Linked DNA regions of Caenorhabditis elegans. The protein of the gene in region 3 interacts with the protein of the main gene of each other region in a biochemical or structural test. Each region holds a gene or a part of one and is shown on either strand. Other genes may lie near its edges.

Region 1 (4,830 bases), on a different chromosome or scaffold from region 3:
CGTCTTCCAAGAAGTTTCAGTAGAATTGTGTGCATTTTAAGAAAAAAATGTTCTGGAATATTGAAAATGTGTACAGTAAGACTGGCATGATTTTGGTGTACGTAAAGTGTACGTCCGGTTTTCCAGCAATAGTGTACAGTAACCATCCATAACCGAACTCATATCGAAACATAATCTACCAGTTTCGAGCTGATTATCCAAGGTCTCAAATCATCGAGGCGACCAGCTTCTTTTTTTTTCAAAAAAATCTTTACTTAAAATTCACATTTTGAAAACTATCCATTTGTTGGAAAAAAGCAATTCGAAAAATAGGCCAAAAAATCCAAAATTAGGGCAAACCTGAAGGTGACCTCTGCCTGCCTCACGCCGAAAACGCCTACGCATGACTGTTACGCCGACATTAGTTGTAGAGAACAAATTTCTAGGGATAATTGATAAAAGTTCTTTGGGGAATTATTAAACTTGGAGGCGGAATGAAAAGTGCTGACAGCATATAGATATTTTTAAAAAATGTTAAACAAAATACTGTACGACAGAAATGGAAAAAATTGTCATAAATCAGAAAAAACCAGAATCTGGAAGTACACGACGTCTATTTTTCTATTCCTCCCCGGAGTGCGAATGTGATGCATTTGTGTGTGTGTATTTCTCTCCATGTGTGTGTGTGTGTTTGTGGATAATTGAGCTATCGTCTTGCGTTGGAGCAGAAAGACGAAAAGAAGAAGAAGAAGTAGCAGATGAAGAAAAGAAAAGGAGTTGGCGGCGGAGGAGCTGCCGCGGAGTAGACGGACGGAGAGGAAGAGTAGGCGTGCTCTGTGTTGGTGGCTAGTAGCATCTTGAGAAGAAGAAGAAGAAAAGACCAGATTTATCCGATTGATACGGGTGAGAAACTGGTGAGAATCGATGTCCTGTGGAAGCCAGGATTGGTTTTTGAGAAGTTAGTTACATATTGGGTGAGAAGGTTCAGGTGGAAACACCCGTCTTCGCGTTCTACTGAGGCGCGACAGAATGTCACCCGTCACTCGCCTGTAAAATGCCTTCACAAAAAAATGTAGCCAAGCTTAGAGGAATGCGAAAATTCTAATTACTTGGGTGAAGCCTGTAGGTACCGTATGGTAGAAAATAGTATGACAACCCTAAATCAAATCTATTGAATCTTTTGTTGAAAGAAAACAAAAAGATACGGCAACTTATAATATTATTTTCCAAAACTATAAACAATGAAGCAACTGTTCGGAAATATTGTTCTTCCAGAAAGGAAAACGGGAAAGTTTAGGTTTTCTTCCAGATGATGAAAGGTTTCAGGTAAGCTCCCGGAGCCCCGATGCCAAAGCGTTCGGATTGTTATCTCAATAATACGGTCCTTGGTCTCGACACGACAATTTTTTCAAATTCAAAAAGGTATGCGCCTTTAAAAAGTACTGTAAATTCGAACATTTGTTGCTGCGGAATTTTCATCGATTTTTAATACTTTTCTTTCCCATATATACATTGTTACAGGCGTTAAAAAATCGATCTGCAATGAGAAAAGTTTGTGGCTACAGTACACTTTAAAGACGCATACCAGTCTGAAATTAACAAAAAAATTATCGTTCCGAGACCGGGTACCGTATTTTTGGAGTAATGGGGTTATTCAAGTAATGTAGCAAAATGTATTAAAATACATTTGTGACGTCACAAATGTATTTAAATACATGTTTTTATATACTTGAATAAGGTTGTGACGTAATTTTTCTACACTTTTTAATTTTCCGACACTACTTGAATAACCCCATAACAGTTCTGTGTACAGAAAAATCATTATGCTTAAATCAAGTTTCTATTTTTTTTAAGTTTTTCTGTTTTTTTTTATACTTCCGAAAACAAAAGCGAAAAGGTGTTCTAGCGTAGTTCCCAAGAGTCCTTAAATTCATCTTTCTCCTTGTCTACTTCAACTCTTCCGAAACGGATGTAACATTGAGCCGGCTCCGGGACCCCCGCCCTTCTCTATGCACCTTTTTTCCCACCAAACAACGTCCACTTGGCACAATGCTATTTGTATAGGAATCAGGGAAAAGGGCTTTTTCGAAAACTTTTTCGACTTAGTTTACTTTTTTTTCTTTTTTGGGGGTGCATGATGCTTCAAGTCATGATGCACCATGTCTATAATATGAAGAAAAATGAGGCAAGAAAGGAGGGAAAGTGTATTAAAAGAACAACATATGGTAGTGGTACTACACAAAGAAACATTGGAATAAAGATGGGACCAAGGAAAAAAACGAAGAAGAAAAAAGATGAGGAAAAGTATAGAGGAGATGCATAATTAGAAGAAGAAGCAGAAGAAAAGGAAGACGTCTCCTTCTGGACGGGGGGACACCAAAAATGGAGTACAAAATGAAGGGTCTAACTATATTATTGAGACATTGCATTTCCTTCGTTCTATTAAAATATATTTTCCCCCTTTTTTTGCCGCAGCTTTTTATAACCAAACTTATAACCAGCTTTATTTCATCAATTTTAACATACAAATAATTTTAAAAAAACAGCCTAAAAACGAAACTGGCGAAAATTGACTGAAAATGTTCGAATTTCTAGTTTTGCCGCCAATTCCTAACGAGACCCAACGTTTAGGGGCGGGGCGTTTTAATTTGGCAGTGGAGCGCGATCGTGCCCCAAATCAACTGATAAAATGTATGAGAAAGTTTTTCAAACAGTCTCTTATTATCCAATTGCGAATTTTAGCGATTTTCCCCAATAAAATTTGGAGGCTGCGCGAAAAGTGTGCGCGCCTTTAAATTGTACAGTAACCCAGCTGCGGCGTTTTCCATTTTTCTTCGATTTTATTCACTTTTACCAGAAGTTTCAGTTTTGTTTCTGAACAAAAAATATTTTTCTAGCAAGAATGTGTGGAAAAATCCGAGAAATTATCGAAATAACGGGAATCTGCGGGTTATTGTACTTATTAAAGACGCACATCTTTTTTCTCGCTTTCGAATCATTTTTTCTTTTCAGACCTACCTTCTTTCGGCTTCATCTTCAACTGCTATTATATCCTCTGGCTCATCGATCATTCAATGATGTATTCCAGATTCTGAATCACAATTAATTAGCTCGAATTTTAAGAAGATAAAAAAAATTTAAAAATCTGAATTTAAAATATACTAATATGCAGGATCCTGGCCAAGACGTGTTTCGGAATGAATGAATAAAAGCCAAGCGGCATGTGCTCCAAGATATGAAATCTCCAGGGGCCATCTATAAGGCTCCGCCCATGTTTCCTTTTTCTCACTAATCTCATCTTTGTTTCTTTGTTTTTAGAGAGTTCAAAGACTTAAAGACAAGTAGGGTGTAATTTCATTTGAACCCCCTATCGCATTTTCTAACAAGAATAAAATTTGAATTTTCAAAAAAAAAGAAAAAAGTAATCGTAACGTTACTGTGGGGGAATGACCATTCAAATGAATGGTGAGAATAAAAGGGGAAAGGGGTATCGGATAAGAATGGCATACAAGTGATTTCGGGGAAATAATAAAAGTCAAGGAGCAATGGTCACACAAGCCTCGGGGACAGGAAGATGATAATGACGATTTGGGGGGAAAAATACACCTGTGGTAAATGGTAAATCAGTATGATACAAAGGATCTGGTCGTAGTTGTGGATGGTGATTACGGTAGTTTCGGTTGTTGTAATTACAAAAACGAAATGAAAAACTACGGGTGAAAACATGAAAAATGTAAGAGGGAGGGAGCTGAGAGCAAGCAAGAAATAAACCATCAAAATACACCGGTGAGCATCTGGAGGTATGAAGCTCGGAAAAGAGTGAGAACGAATTATTTATCAGTCGGAGGAGAGATTCGAGTTATCAGTTACACGGGTGCGGGGAGTTTCAGATATCGGTGACACGATATGAAGATGTTTTTGAGCGAGGTAGTTCCTTTTCCGAATGAGCAAATCCGGTAGCCTGACGGCGCATCGACGTGTTTCGTCCGAGTATGTTGTGTCGGCCGCCGAGGAACGTTGTCGAGGTGAGGCGAGAACTGAAATAACTAACAGGATATGTTAGATGTAGAGTGTCAATTTGGCATTAACTCATGGGAAAATATGGTCAATGAATGAGGCAACACGCCTTCAAGATCCGGCCGAAAAGAAGATCTACTAAAAGAAGATCTACTAAAAGAATATCTACAATGTGAAGATCTACGGCTTCAGGATCTGGCACCGTGCCAATTAGAAATTTTCGTGGTTTTCTCGAAGAAAAACGTGACAACAAAGGAGCATCATTGTTAAGTTTTTCTTCGATAAAACTACGAGTATTTCTAGTTGACACGGTGCCACATCCTGAAACCGTAGATCTTCAAATTGACTTTTCGGACAGATCTCGAAAACGTGTTGTCTCCGATAAATCTGTGGGGTGCATTGACGTACCGAATTCCTCGCTTTGGCGTCGATTCAGATTCGCTTTGGCATCCAGGCAATCCGCCGACTGACGTCATGTTTGCGAGAGCTGCTGGATCACACGAAACTCTGGGAGACTGCAGAAATGTCGTGTTCTCGTCTGAAATTAGTGAATCAAATACAATTTCAGAAGAAAAAAAAATAAATTTTCTAAAAACGCACTAATTTGTCCCAAGTTATTTCGACTCTGATTTCTGCCAAAGCCCAGCGTGGTGGCAAGTGTGAGTTGAGCATTACTGAACGCTCGTCGCATTCGACTCTGTGACTGTGGTGGTGGCATAAACGACTCATTGTGTGACCATTCCTGTAATAAAAGTTTATATATAAGCATTCAAGTTAGGTGTAACACTGTGGACAATTTTAATTTCTCCACTCATGTATCAAACTTCATTTCTC
Region 2 (7,900 bases), on a different chromosome or scaffold from region 3:
GATATCTAGTTGCATTGAAAGGCTACCCAGCTGTTTTATTTCAAAAATTTTTGTTCTGAAATATCTGACAATGACATCTGAAAATGGTAAATTGCGAACAAGTCACAGCTAGTTTAGTTTAGCTTCGACATTAGAGAATAAAAAATTATTAACCAGATACCAAAAATATCTCTTTGCGACCTTAAGAACTGTAGTGTACGGTAGAATTTGTAAGCATTGTTAATTGGAAAAATATGTTCTTTGACATCCAATTCTCGATCTTTTGTAACATTAGTCCTTGAACTTCTCTGTTAGGGGGTCAACCGGGCTCCTTGCTTGCTCCACCACTTTTTGTGAGAAACCGTTCTCTATATCTCTGTGCTCGACGTCAGTGGGAATGAAAACCCGAAGACCGATGAGTTTATCACAGTGTTTATCAAGATGCTTTCCTTCTGTCTCTCTCTCCACTTGAACACTCTTCTCGAGACCTCATACCACTTCACCCCACTTTTAGTTAGTTTTTTTTGTCCGCTCACTTGTCGATTTCTGTGTATGTTTCTACTTGTCACTATTATCGTTTTTGTGTCGAAATAGTCTCTAGTACCCACCCCAGGATCTCATAATATTGCTCTCATTCTCGTTAACACGAAAATAGATATCTGCCTTATAATAGTGAGATCTGTGGTTTTATTTACTTTCGGATATCCCTCACTTGTGATTTCTATCATGATACCTATCGGGATTTTGGGGAGAAAAGACAGTTTGATAATGATCTTTTCTATGCTTTATCCGCTTTTCCTGCCTCCGATCAATGTTTGCTAGCCCATGTGTGTAGGTGGATTCAAACATTTGATTTTATACTTCGTCATCATCAAGAGCCATTGCAACATGTTTCAGTGAGATCAATTTGCAACTCTTTGTTCAACTAGTCATGATGAAAAATTTTCGATCAATATTCTTTAAGCAACTGCCATTTAATCTGACCATAGCAAATTGTGTTTTCCTCTGGATCTCTGCGGTGTTTGACTGTGAGCCATAAGTCAAGTTGCAATTTGTTGATATAAATAACTGATAGTGAGCTCTTGGTTTTAGTTGTCATGTGCCATTTTCCAGCCCACCAGTTGAAGAAATTTGTTAGTTGAGAAATGGTAACACTTATTCTGAAGCTCTTTTGCGAAACGGGGAAAATCTTATTAATTGATAGCCACATAGTTTCGACCGAAACGTATTGAACTATAATTTTAATTTTATTAGATGTATCAGTGAATGTTAACGATTAATTAAATAAAAGTTAAATGAAAGCAAACATTTGTCTTTCAAAATAACATCGAGATTTAAGCGTATAAAAACTTGAGTTTTTTTTAAATTTTTCTACTGTTATGGCTTGAATCTTAACAAACTCATAGACCAATTATATTATATTAAAATTATAATATCTCAATCTTTGCATTTCTCATTATATAGGAATTTATCAATTTTAGATGTCACTATCATAGTCGAGTCAATTGAGATTTAACATGACATATGTCAAGTCCGATTAAAGTTTAACGACAGTGTTTATGGTGTCAACAGGATTATTTTGAGTACCAACTTTCCCGATGTGTCGACTATTAAATTCTCAGTTTCTCTCTAAATTCCCAGCACATGATAAAAGTAAAACGAAAGTATCTGTTTCTAATCCAAGTGCATCATGAGCCACAAGATGGGATGCTGGGAAATTTATGACCCCCCATCGAGGTGTGTTTCTCGTTTCTTTCTCTTCTTTTTATTACCTTCAAGCTTTTTTATTACTTCCCAGCTCTATTACTATCAAAAACTTAAAACCGATTTTCTAGAGAACGACACGATTGCTCATAGCTCACTAGCGAGCAATGAGTATCAAGCTTGGAGCTCGAGATAGAGCCCTTCCATCTCCTTCTGGCTCCTCAAATACCCCATCCACTTCATCTGATATGATTCGCTCATTATTATTCACTTCAAAAGAACGAAAAGTCCGTTCGACATACACGGCTCCTCCACCAAATCGACAACACTCGCCGGGAGTTGTATCACAATTGATTAACAAGATTGAGTTGAAAACGTCACCTACAAATACATCGTCAAGACCAAAAAAGAAGAAAAAGGCTCCACCACTTGCTAAGATTGATGATCTTGATTTGGTTGATGATGAGAAAACTATCGTCTCGGAAGTTGTAAAAAGTCCAAGAAGGAAGAAATATACAGGAAATCCATTAGGAAATTTGAAAATTCTGAACAACATTCTCCCTTCCTCCAAAGCTTCTGATGATAAGGAAAATTCAGGAAGCCAGCAGCAACCAAGTACGGGGAAAAAGTTGAAGAAGAGCAGAAGTAAAAGTCGTGTGGAGCCGGAGTCTGAGGCACCATTTCGATTAAAACGGACTTTAACTGATCTCACAAATAATCATACACCTGCCGGATCCACATGGCGACAGATGGTCTCAAATGCGCTCGGTGGTCCACTTAAAAAACGGCTCAGCGAGGGGGCTCTCCTGTTTCCCGGCACCAGCAAAGCATCAGATGATTGTAACGACGAAGAGGGGGATAATACTAAGACGACAACGAAGCGCAGATTTTTACAACGACGGAAACAAAGCGAAAAAAGTGCAGGAGGCGCCAACGGAAAAGAGTCCGGTGGTGGTTCCGCCTCTTCATCGTTTTTTGGAGCTCTTATCAGATTGTCCCACTCGGCTGCAAGTTTAACGTCTTTAACTTCACTTGGTGGTTCAAAATCTCGGTCTGCATCTCCATCACCATCAAGTTCTCGATCTAATACTAAAGAATTCAAAGAGAATCTGAGCCCACCTCAGCCACCACCACCGGATCTCATTGCACCAGCTGCAGCATTAGCCAGACCAACTTTTTCCCTTGCGGCTCCTGATTCCCCTGTTTCACTTGCTCCGCCATCTAGGGAGCTCAGAAAATCCAAAACGTGTCAAATAACCACCGATCGTCCACCTATTATTCCTAGTATTACTATATCTGAAAGTCGAAGTTTGAACCGAATCGATAGGTGTCGGCCGGTCACTGTAGATGGAAGTGGTCTATCATCTGATTGCCGACCTCTTGTTTCACGAAGAAGCACAATGAGCCGTACAATGTCACTGATTCCAACTAGTCCATCGCTTCCGCCACTTTATGAGGAAGAAACAGCAAGTACAGCGGCAATGGTGGAAGAGGAGAGAGCGGATCGAGCACAGAAGCGCAGAATGCGAAGGTACGGCGGATCAAATACAACAAGTACTTATCAAGGAAGGAAAGATGTTGCACCGGATGCTTCGCCGAGAAGACATCTTATTGGATTTCTACATAGGACGTCACATCTATCCTTAACCTCTGAACTTAGTGCAGATGCATCGTTTTATTTGATCGGTAGGTAAATGATGGCGAAAAATGATGTGATCAAGTAAAGGGTAATAGGTTCAAAAAACAAAATCTTATGAAAATTTGAAAAAGCATCGAATTCTAAGTTTTCTTAAATTCCAGGGCACCGACGACATCTCGAAGAATCAACAATTGGCTCCGAATCCGATGCAAGAGTATTTTCAGATGATGATGATAGGTATGTTTTTTTTTTTAATTTTATAAACATAGGTTTCATTTCATTGAATTTTTATGTAAAGCCAGTACTCTGGTGACAGTGTTCCTTTCAAAATTTAGTGTATTTTATTCGGCAAATTTTTATTTATAAAAAATTAAAGCAAAAGTTTAAGTTATAATAGGGCTACATTCAGGTCTTGCAGGGCTATCTCAAGGAATATGCAACATTGAAAAAAATTTACATTCAAAATATAACAACTCATAAAAACAAAACCAAGTTTACGAATAGGCAATACCCCTTTGAAATTTTAAATTTTAAATATTTTCAAAAATTCGATGGTTTTCATTTTGCCTCTCAAATAGTTAATACCTTTTTTTGTGTCTTCTCTGTCTGTCACATAAAGTGACAAATGACTAGGCTTAAAGCGGGCCTTCATCCCCGCTCACTCTGCCCCCAATGATTTCGCCCTTCCGCTCCTCAAATAGTGAAATGAGCGGCTACATAACTGACGATGATTTCGCAAGCTCTGATGGTAAAGCCTATTATTCAACAACTTCCACTTCAACTTCTGATTATTACTATGCAATTGGAACAGCTCCGCCGAGCAGCACGGGTGCCACAACTCGCGACGTGTCAGTTCATTTATTCTGCGATAAGACACAGCTCGTTAAATTTGAGCAATTCCTGCTTGGCGCTTATCTTCTAGCTAAAGCCTGGTAGTGACTATCACAACAAGCTCTTAGTGTTGTGCACTATTTGAAGGAAACTAATAAAAATTGGGGAGGGGAAGAAAAGGACGTGAGAACGGGTGGAAAGAGATGGATGAGAAGTGGATAATTGCTTTCGATAAATCTTTCAGTTCTTTTCGGATTTTGTGGAACAAACTTCTAGGTTGTAACTTTAAGGAATTTGAACATTTTGTTTTGTGCAGTGCTCCGCTTATATTTAGAATTTCACGGAACACAATTCTCATTAGTTTTCCTTTTTTAGCTAGTGAAAACCATGTAAAATTTTAGTTGATAACGTTCAAAGTTACTCACGAGTTGCAAAAATCACTGAAAACCACAGTAAGATTTTCAAAAAATTATGAAATTTTTATTTACAGTCCAAAATGGAAATTAACCAGTTTTCGCTTATCATAAATTAATAATTCGATTTTAAAAAATTTCTACAGTTTTTTTTTAAATTTTAAAATCATTTGTATTTATTTTGTGGGGCATCGAATATGCAAAGCTTCTTTAAGTTTCTCAATAAGACTCAATTTTCAAAAGTTGGACTGAAAATTCTGAAAAATCTATAACAATTTCAACTATAAAACGTTCAATTTTTCAGAGGCTCTACAACAACCGATTTCACATCAGTATCCCGACAACATGAAAAAATGGCAAAGAAAAAGAAGAATAAAAGAAATTTCCGAAAACCCTCTAGAGCATCTTCGTTTTCAAGTATCACAGGTATGACCTCTTCGAAATTAGCATAACTTTTACCATTCGAATTCCAGAGTCCTCTATGAGCCTTGATGTAATAACAGTGAACCTCAATATGGATACAGTCAATTTCCTTGGCATTTCAATTGTTGGTCAAACTTCTAATTGTGGTGATAATGGAATCTACGTAGCAAATATCATGAAGGGAGGTGCAGTGGCATTGGATGGAAGAATTGAAGCTGGTGATATGATTTTACAAGTCAATGAGACCAGCTTTGAGAATTTCACTAACGATCAAGCTGTTGATGTGTTACGGTAAAAATTATTATTTTTTACTGAGAGCTTATTCTTCAACATATGAATTTTCAGAGAAGCTGTTAGCCGTCGTGGCCCCATCAAATTAACTGTGGCGAAAAGTTTTGAAAATGGGCAAAGTTGTTTCACAATACCAAGGAATAGCAGAGAAGAGCCTGTGAGACCAATCGATACTCAAGCATGGATCCAGCATACGAATGCAATGAGAGGAATGCCAAGTATAGTTGAAGGTATGGTTTTTTGATTGGAAGTGTAGAAAAACTAAACAAAATACCTGCCTGTTATTTGATTGATCTTTTTATTTTTTGCAAAATTATAAGCTGCACTCTCAACCTATTCAACTTCAGGCTGAAATTTATTCAGTGCATTTCTTCGCTACTTTCAAGTTGATGTTTTTCAGACTTCTGATGTTTTAGGATATTTTAAAGTAGAACAACATTTGGAAAGCTTTTTGGAATTTTCAATTTTTTTTTGAAACAAAAATAAAAATATGAAATTTTTCACATCTCTAATTTTGAAGGCTGAATGTAAAATTAAGTCAAACCTTTTTTCTGCACCAAAATTTTGAAAACAGGTAGGCAGGCAGGAAGACAGCCTCGATGTTGTTTTTTGTTCTTCTTCTACGTTATTCTCCTACAAATATCTATTAATTAAAAAATTTTTTCCAGAAAGTGCACCGACACCAATTCCTGGTGAATGGCCTCATGGTCGACCGCCAAGCAGCTCAACGGTGACCTCAAACGGATCAAATGGTCAAAATACAGTAGTCGGCGGCGGAGCTCATATTATTCTTGATATACACACTGACAAAAAGAAGGTTGTCGAAATAATGGCTATGCCTGGCTCTGGTCTTGATATCAAAAATCGAACATGGCTCAAAATTCCGATTCCCATGTCGTTCTTGGGTAAGTTTTGAATGAACGTGTAGAGCCTATTCTAATTCTCAATTTTAGGATCTGATCTGGTCGAATGGCTTTTGGATCATGTTGAAGGGCTTCGAGAACGGAAGACAGCACGAAACTTTGCGGCGGATTTACTGAAATTAAAGTATATTGCACATGTGGTGAACAAGGTCACATTCACTGAGCAGTGCTATTATGTCCTTGGAGATGAGTGTTCAGGTAGGAAAGTATACATTTATTCGGAAAATGTCAAAGTTTTTGTATATGAAGATGGAAGTGGGTCTTTTGAAATCTTTAATGCAATTTTTTTGAACTGAAATGTTAAAAATTTGTTTTAAAAAATTATTTTTTTCAAATTATATTTTTAAAACAAATTTTTCACTGATGCACAAAAATGTCTGCCTGTAATCTCCATAGGAATGCAAAAAAGTTGGTTGCATTCAAGGCTGCCCTGCCTGATTCAAAACATGAAATTCAACCCTTCTTGTTATATCTTCTAAATTACTTCCAGACTATGCCCGATTCCGAAATGAAGATGGTGGACCCAAATACCAATGGACCATCGGAATGAACGGAATGTCTGCTGGCAACGGAAGCTCTGTGATGCTCCCACCCCCACATTTACCTGGAGGTATGGCTGGCCCTCCTGGAGCTTTTAAAGGGATGGCTCCGTCAATGGTAAGCGACGGCGAATCGCGCATGTATGTAATGCACATTTAGAATGTCATCATTTTTCTTCATGTTTATGTTTCATTATGTCTGGTAATCAATGCCAAAATGGCATAATTCAAAATAGTTTCTCTCACAGTACACCATGTACCCGGTATTACAATAAGTTCTAATTTAATATTTTGTAACTTCTAAGTCTCCAATCATGAATCAAAATTTCATATGTTCCCGGTGATTGTAATTTTGGATGTTTTTCCTTTATTTGATTATTCTATTTTTGAATCTGTCCGTCGATTTTTTGTTGCATTTCCTTCTCAAATTCACACGAATTGCGATCTTCTTCACGAGTTCCCCACATCCTTGTCTGAAATAGATGCACCCTATACTAAGAAAAAAAACGTCTTGTTTTCTATTGCATTTGCCCTAAAATTATTGTTTATATTCGATATCATTGTTATTTTCTCGCCCCCTCATTTCTCAGTAGCATGTAAATGTATCAGTCCAATGTTGCCACCCACAAGAATGACAGAATAATAAATAATATTCTGAATCAAAAGAATGTTGTTATATTTCACACCACACGAACATTGCAAAGTGAGAAATATATTATTTGAAAAATATATAAACAGGTAAGTGGATATGCATCAATGCCGGCTTCACCATTCCCACCAGCTCAATTGCAGCAACAGAGAAGAGAAGGAAGTACAACCAGTGGAAGTAGTGGCGGTGGAATTAGAAAACAGTGAGTTTTTCCACTATAAACATACAAAGAAATTTTTGTATTTTGTAAAGATATATAGCTTTTTTAAACATTTTCAAGAAAAAAATAAAATTCAAAACCACACCAAAAGAACTTGTTTCTTAAGTTGGAAAAAAGTGAAAAGTGTGAGGCACTGGAAATTTAAAAACTTTCGTCTGAATTTCTCTGACTTCAAAAGTTCCAATTTTATATAACACGGTAGACTCTAACATTTTTGACATAGTTTTTCGAAATAACTCCCAATATAATTTTAAAATATTTCAGACGAGTTGTTGTTCTTCCCAGAAAA
Region 3 (5,205 bases):
TAATTTCTCATATTTATTAAGCGGGTTTCTATATTTTTTTGTTCACGCTGAAAAACATTTCAAAATAAAAAAAGCTAATAAATCGTTCCAAAAAAATGTATTTCCTATATCTTCGAATCTAAAAAATGACGTCTTCTTCCGTTCAACAATCGATTGAAATTCGTGTTAATTGGAATGAAATTCCAACAATTGAGCAAAAAATTTTGGAGGCGCTGAAAGGAATAAAAACTCGAAATATCCGAGAGACGAATGTAGTTTTGTTCAAGAAAAATGAGGTATGTTTCCACTTTCTCATTCCTTTCCAAATAATTGTTTTCCAGGAAATTCATGTGAGAATCGAATTGAAGCCAATGGAATTCCCTGACACAAATCGTTGCAAAGCGGTTCAAGCGAACACCATTCCGTTGGTTGGTGACCATCGACTCGGATGTACCGGAATTCAGTATCGACAGGAGAAGGCAGCGAAACGTGGAAAGAAGGCTCGCATGTCGACCGGCGTTCAGACAGTCTCCACAAAGAATCAATGACCAAGAGTACTTCTTTTATCCGGTTACGCGATTGATAAAGAGATATAATAGGGGGAGGAATAAAGAGAAAAGAGAGAGACAACATAGTACAATAGGCAATGTAAAATCAATGTGAGTGGATTAGGAGACCCTAGTTAAAATGAAATAGGAATGATAATCAGGTGAAAAAAAGGATAAAATAATGATTTGATTGAGAGATCGAAAAGAAAACGGGGCTTATGTTCCAGCTTCCAGCAGGAAATTAGATGAGAGTGATCTTATCTTCGGCAATCATTGCAGCGTTATCGTTTTCCAATTGTTCGTATCCAGCCTTCAGCTCATCCTCAGTGAACTTGTGTGATCCGGCTTGAGTTTGAACACCTGAAAACATTTTTGTAATAAACATTTTTAATGAAACATTTGCTTACTGTCTGTGATAATTTGAAGTTCAACCATATCGTCGGTGCTTCCAATGTCGTCGAACGCCTTTCTGACGTACTTCCGAAGCTCCTTATAACGATCAACTCCGATGGCAGCCGGTCCAGTACGTGCTTTCTTAGCAGTTGGCTGACTTTCTCCAATGGTAGTATCCATCATAGAATCCTGGCTATCATCATCTTCAGCACGCCTTCTGACTCCACGACGCGGGGTGGCTGCAGTCGGAACGGAGCTAGATTGAGGCTCTTCCGATGTTGCCATGTCCTCGTTATCGCTCTGATCCTCATCATCGTCACCATCAATTCGTGGAGCTCGCTTCTTCTTCTCATACTCTTGACGAGCCTTTGGCTTCTCCTTGAAACAGGCAAAGTGGAGCAGATTGTAAGCTTTCTCAGTATCCTCTCGTTCGACTTTTTTCGAGAATCTTGCCTTCGCGATAGCAGTTGACAAACGAATCAATGTTTCGAGTTGACGAGCGGTGACAGGCATTGTTCGTTCTTGATCAGTTTTGGTGATATCAAATGAACGAATATCGGCATATACTTCAGAAATGTACTCAGTAGCTTCATCGGTGAGTTTTGGTTGAACTGATCTTGCCAAATGGATGTACTTTCTCATGAAGTCCATTGTCAGGATTTTCGTGCTGAAATAGAGAAATTAATTAATTTATATTGTTTTTTTATAAAAGAAACTCACTCTTGAATACCAGCCCATTGGGTATTTTCCTCATAGATCGAGCTGCTCGCCTTCTTAGTCTCCATATTGATTGTACTGATCGTCTCAACACCTCCACCCATCGGAAGAACAGTTCCATCGGCTTCACCTTGGGTTCTGTAAGTGTGAAGCTTGAGCACATGTTCAGCGACATTAGCGTCCTTGTCCGCATCATGCTCATCAAGAAGTACAAAGATCAAATCGAAACGCGAGAGGAGTGAATCTTGCATTCCGATGTTTTCCATTGGAGATTTGAATGGATTGTATCGTCCGTACACCGGATTTGCTGCAGCCAGAACCGAGCAACGAGCATTCAGCTTCGCGTGGATTCCAGCCTTCGAAATTGTGACACGTCCCTGTTCCATAACTTCGTGGATTGCAGTTCTATCAATATCAGACATCTTGTCAAATTCATCAATACAAACGACACCACGATCGGCGAGAACCATTGCTCCAGCTTCAAGACGACGTTCTCCCGAATCAGGATCAGTAGTAACAGCAGCAGTAAGTCCAACACCCGAAGATCCACGTCCAGTTGTGGTGATAGCTCTTGGGGCCATACGAAGAACATATCGAAGCAGTTGAGACTTGGCAACAGATGGATCTCCGATGAGAAGAACATTGATATCTCCCCTCAAACGAGAACCATTGTTCAGAATCTTTTCCATTCCACCTAGCAACAAACAGAGCAACGCTTTCTTTGTCTCTTCGTGGCCGCAAATTGATGGAGCAAGTGACCGAGCGAGCAGCTCAAATGGGTTTCTTGACTTTGAAATTTTACGAACATCTTTAACATCTTGTGGCTCAAAGTTTGGAATAACCTCCTTTGAAAGCATTTGAATATGATTAATGATGATGATCGAACGGAAGGATCCAGACGAAACTCCATTCTGCTTATTCGGCAGAACACGGAAGACTCCAATGATGCGGACACGATCTCCAGGCTTGACGCGATCTGCCAAATCAAGATCAGCAACACAATCGACGGCCCGAGGAAGTTGACCGGCTGGTGCGGATTCTGGAAGCTCTTGAATTGTGAACGTTTGATGATCCTTGTAAACTGAATGTCCGAATTCTGTTTCAAGAGGATTCTTATTTTCATCTTCTGTTGGATAGTTGTTATTGGTGACTGCAGTGTCGAGCATAGTGAAATCGGCAAATTTCTTCTCGAGCACTTTATTTGTTGCTGGACAATAGTGGACAGAAGTGAGAAGTTTTTGACGAACAGTTGAACACTTTGTGACGATTCCCTCACAGCAGACAAGGTTTCCAAGATATGATGATTTGAGAGTACGTGGATTGACGTGGCGCTCTCCGAAAGTTCCTTCAAAGCCGACGTGGAATCCACTGAAAATACAAATTGTTTAAAAACAAAAACGGCTTTTAAAAGCTACTCACGTTTTGACAACAGCTTGAACATCACTACGATTAATAGCCATTTGAAGTGCAGATTGTAAGCAATTCATCTCAAGAACGCTTTGGGTCAATAGCCTGAAAACTTTAATACTCGGGAATTCTTTATTTTTTATTAATTACCCTTCAGCTCTTTCTGGTAGAATTTCCCTGATTTCATCGAGATTCATCACCAAACGACTTTCTCCATCATTCATCATTTTCACAATTTTCTGACGATAGTGAAAAGTGTCGGCTTGATTGTCCAAAAAGTTGAGATACTGCTCCGTGATTTCTTGTTTTCGAGCATCCTCGGCACGATCAATGAACATTCCATCAGCTTGTCCGTCCATTTTTTCTGAAAATAAGATGTTTTTAACAAAAGAAACTTAAAATTAAAAAATAAACGAATAGAAACTAGAAAGCACGGAGAAGAGCGGGGAAAATAGAAAAATTCGGCCCAAATTCGCGCATTTCTCATTCAAACAGCAAGGTTTCGCGCGCTCGCTCCGTAAACACCATGACGCAACGCTGCACTCAATGCACCTGAAAGTGATGTTTGAACATGTTTATTTTAAATAGCTATTAATAGCGAAATAATTTTATTTAAATAAAAATGCCTGGAATAAAATGAAAATTGTCTGAAATTATCAGTTCAAAATTGTCATTTCAAGTTTCAAAAAACATCAATAACATTTGTGCCCGTGATCTATGCAAAAGATCTCTTCCAAAAATCTCCTCAATTTTTCATAACAAATCACAAAAATGGAATCTATTGTTTCAGTACTCACAAACTCACAGACACAGATGCTTTTCCATTCTATTCATCCCATCTTTCTTATTTTCTCCCTGCCTCCCCCAGGACGCACCTTTCGTAATACATTTATACATAGAAATGGGAAGAAAGTGGTCACAAAAGCACACATATACACAAAATTTATGCCGTAAAGCTTTAAGTGCTTTGACTTTGTCTCCTAGAAACTTGAGCGCACCGCGTGCTGGAAACCATTGGAAACCGTTTGAAACAACATCTATCGGACCCTCCCGCCGCCGCTCGGGCCTTCACTCATTCATTCATTCACAAAGCTATTTTTTCTGTGCTTTTTCGTTTTATATTCGCAATACGATACGAATACGAAACCATGAAACTTCTACTCGCAATCTCGATTCTGGTACTCTGGATTTCAGAGACAGGTGAGAATTGAATCTAGATTTATAACAGGACTGGCGAAATTTTGAACGTGTTGCCTCCAAGAGTACTGTACCGGGTCTCGAAACGACTTTTTTAAGACAAAATCTATTAGCTTACTATTCTTCAAACGAGTGTGCACCTTTAAGGAGTACTGTAGTATTCAGATTGTTTCCGGGTTTTCTTTATTTAGTTGCTATAGTTTTTTCTTCCGTTTTTTAAGTATCAAAAAATGATAATTACACAAGTGAAATTACTTGAGAATGAAACAATTTTTAGAAAACAGGAGAAAACTGTTCTGAGAAAAGTTAGAAACTACCGTACTCTTCAAAGGCGCAAACACTTTTGCAAATTTAATAATGGGTAGTGTCGAGATCTGATCTAAGGGGCTTGGTGTGCGCCTTTAAGAGGTACAGTTTTTCCAGGGTTCAAAAATGTTTATTTGAAAACTAAGTTGAAAATAAACCGAAAAATCTGAAAAAAAAAGTCGTTACTGTACCGCTTAAAGGCGCGTACCTTTCACGATTTGCAAATATTTCTTTCGTGGCGAGACCTTGGAGCTTTGGAACATTGACTTTTTTTCAGAATCCACAACATGCTTCGTCCAAAATAGTATTCTCAATGCGTTCACTCAAGTCTGCCCGGGAAACATCTACACCTGCATGAAGTTCGACTGTAAAGTGAACAATCCGAAGAAATGTGAGTTTTAAGCCTGGAAATTATCTGTAAAATCTGAATTTTCAGTCCGTCAGACCACTAAAGGATGTAATGATCCTGGAAATGCCCTGGTCGCCTGTACTCAGCTTATGGTAAGTAAAAATAAATTTATATATTTTTTCGTGCAAAAATTAATTTCCAGACGCAATGCCAAGCCCAAGGTGGAACCGGACAATGCTACACTTGCAATGGAGATTACTGTAATTCCAGTCCAACGAGCTTCTCGATTCTCATCTCCATCGTCGTTCC

The links.
Region 1: the proteins of mcm-3 (region 3) and mpz-1 form a complex in vitro, tested with the Caenorhabditis elegans proteins (one study listed by BioGRID).
Region 2: the proteins of mcm-3 (region 3) and dsh-1 form a complex in vitro, tested with the Caenorhabditis elegans proteins (one study listed by BioGRID).

What each region holds. Positions count from the first base shown.
Region 1 is NC_003280.10:10,775,077-10,779,906, forward strand, and holds the start of mpz-1 (PDZ domain-containing protein), read right to left. Parts: upstream 3,051-4,830; coding exon 2,998-3,050; intron 1-2,997. Other genes in the region: ect-2 (Protein ECT2), read right to left, coding at 3,866-4,016, 4,405-4,534, 4,597-4,738.
Region 2 is NC_003280.10:5,214,625-5,222,524, reverse strand, and holds the start of dsh-1 (DiSHevelled related), read left to right. Parts: upstream 1-1,850; coding exon 1,851-3,369; intron 3,370-3,483; coding exon 3,484-3,559; intron 3,560-3,857; exon of another isoform or gene 3,858-4,061; intron 4,062-4,870; coding exon 4,871-4,992; intron 4,993-5,039; coding exon 5,040-5,280; intron 5,281-5,334; coding exon 5,335-5,510; intron 5,511-5,948; coding exon 5,949-6,185; intron 6,186-6,233; coding exon 6,234-6,401; intron 6,402-6,693; coding exon 6,694-6,860; coding exon of another isoform or gene 6,861-6,902; exon of another isoform or gene 6,903-7,405; intron 7,406-7,480; coding exon 7,481-7,593; intron 7,594-7,875; coding exon 7,876-7,900.
Region 3 is NC_003283.11:15,056,192-15,061,396, forward strand, and holds mcm-3 (DNA replication licensing factor MCM3), read right to left. Parts: upstream 3,409-5,205; 5' UTR 3,404-3,408; coding exon 3,195-3,403; intron 3,150-3,194; coding exon 3,057-3,149; intron 3,006-3,056; coding exon 1,641-3,005; intron 1,588-1,640; coding exon 935-1,587; intron 888-934; coding exon 769-887; 3' UTR 528-768; downstream 1-527. Other genes in the region: C25D7.16 (40S ribosomal protein S20), read left to right, coding at 126-275, 321-527; nssp-71 (neuronal small secreted protein), read left to right, coding at 4,193-4,244, 4,825-4,938, 4,984-5,048, 5,099-5,205.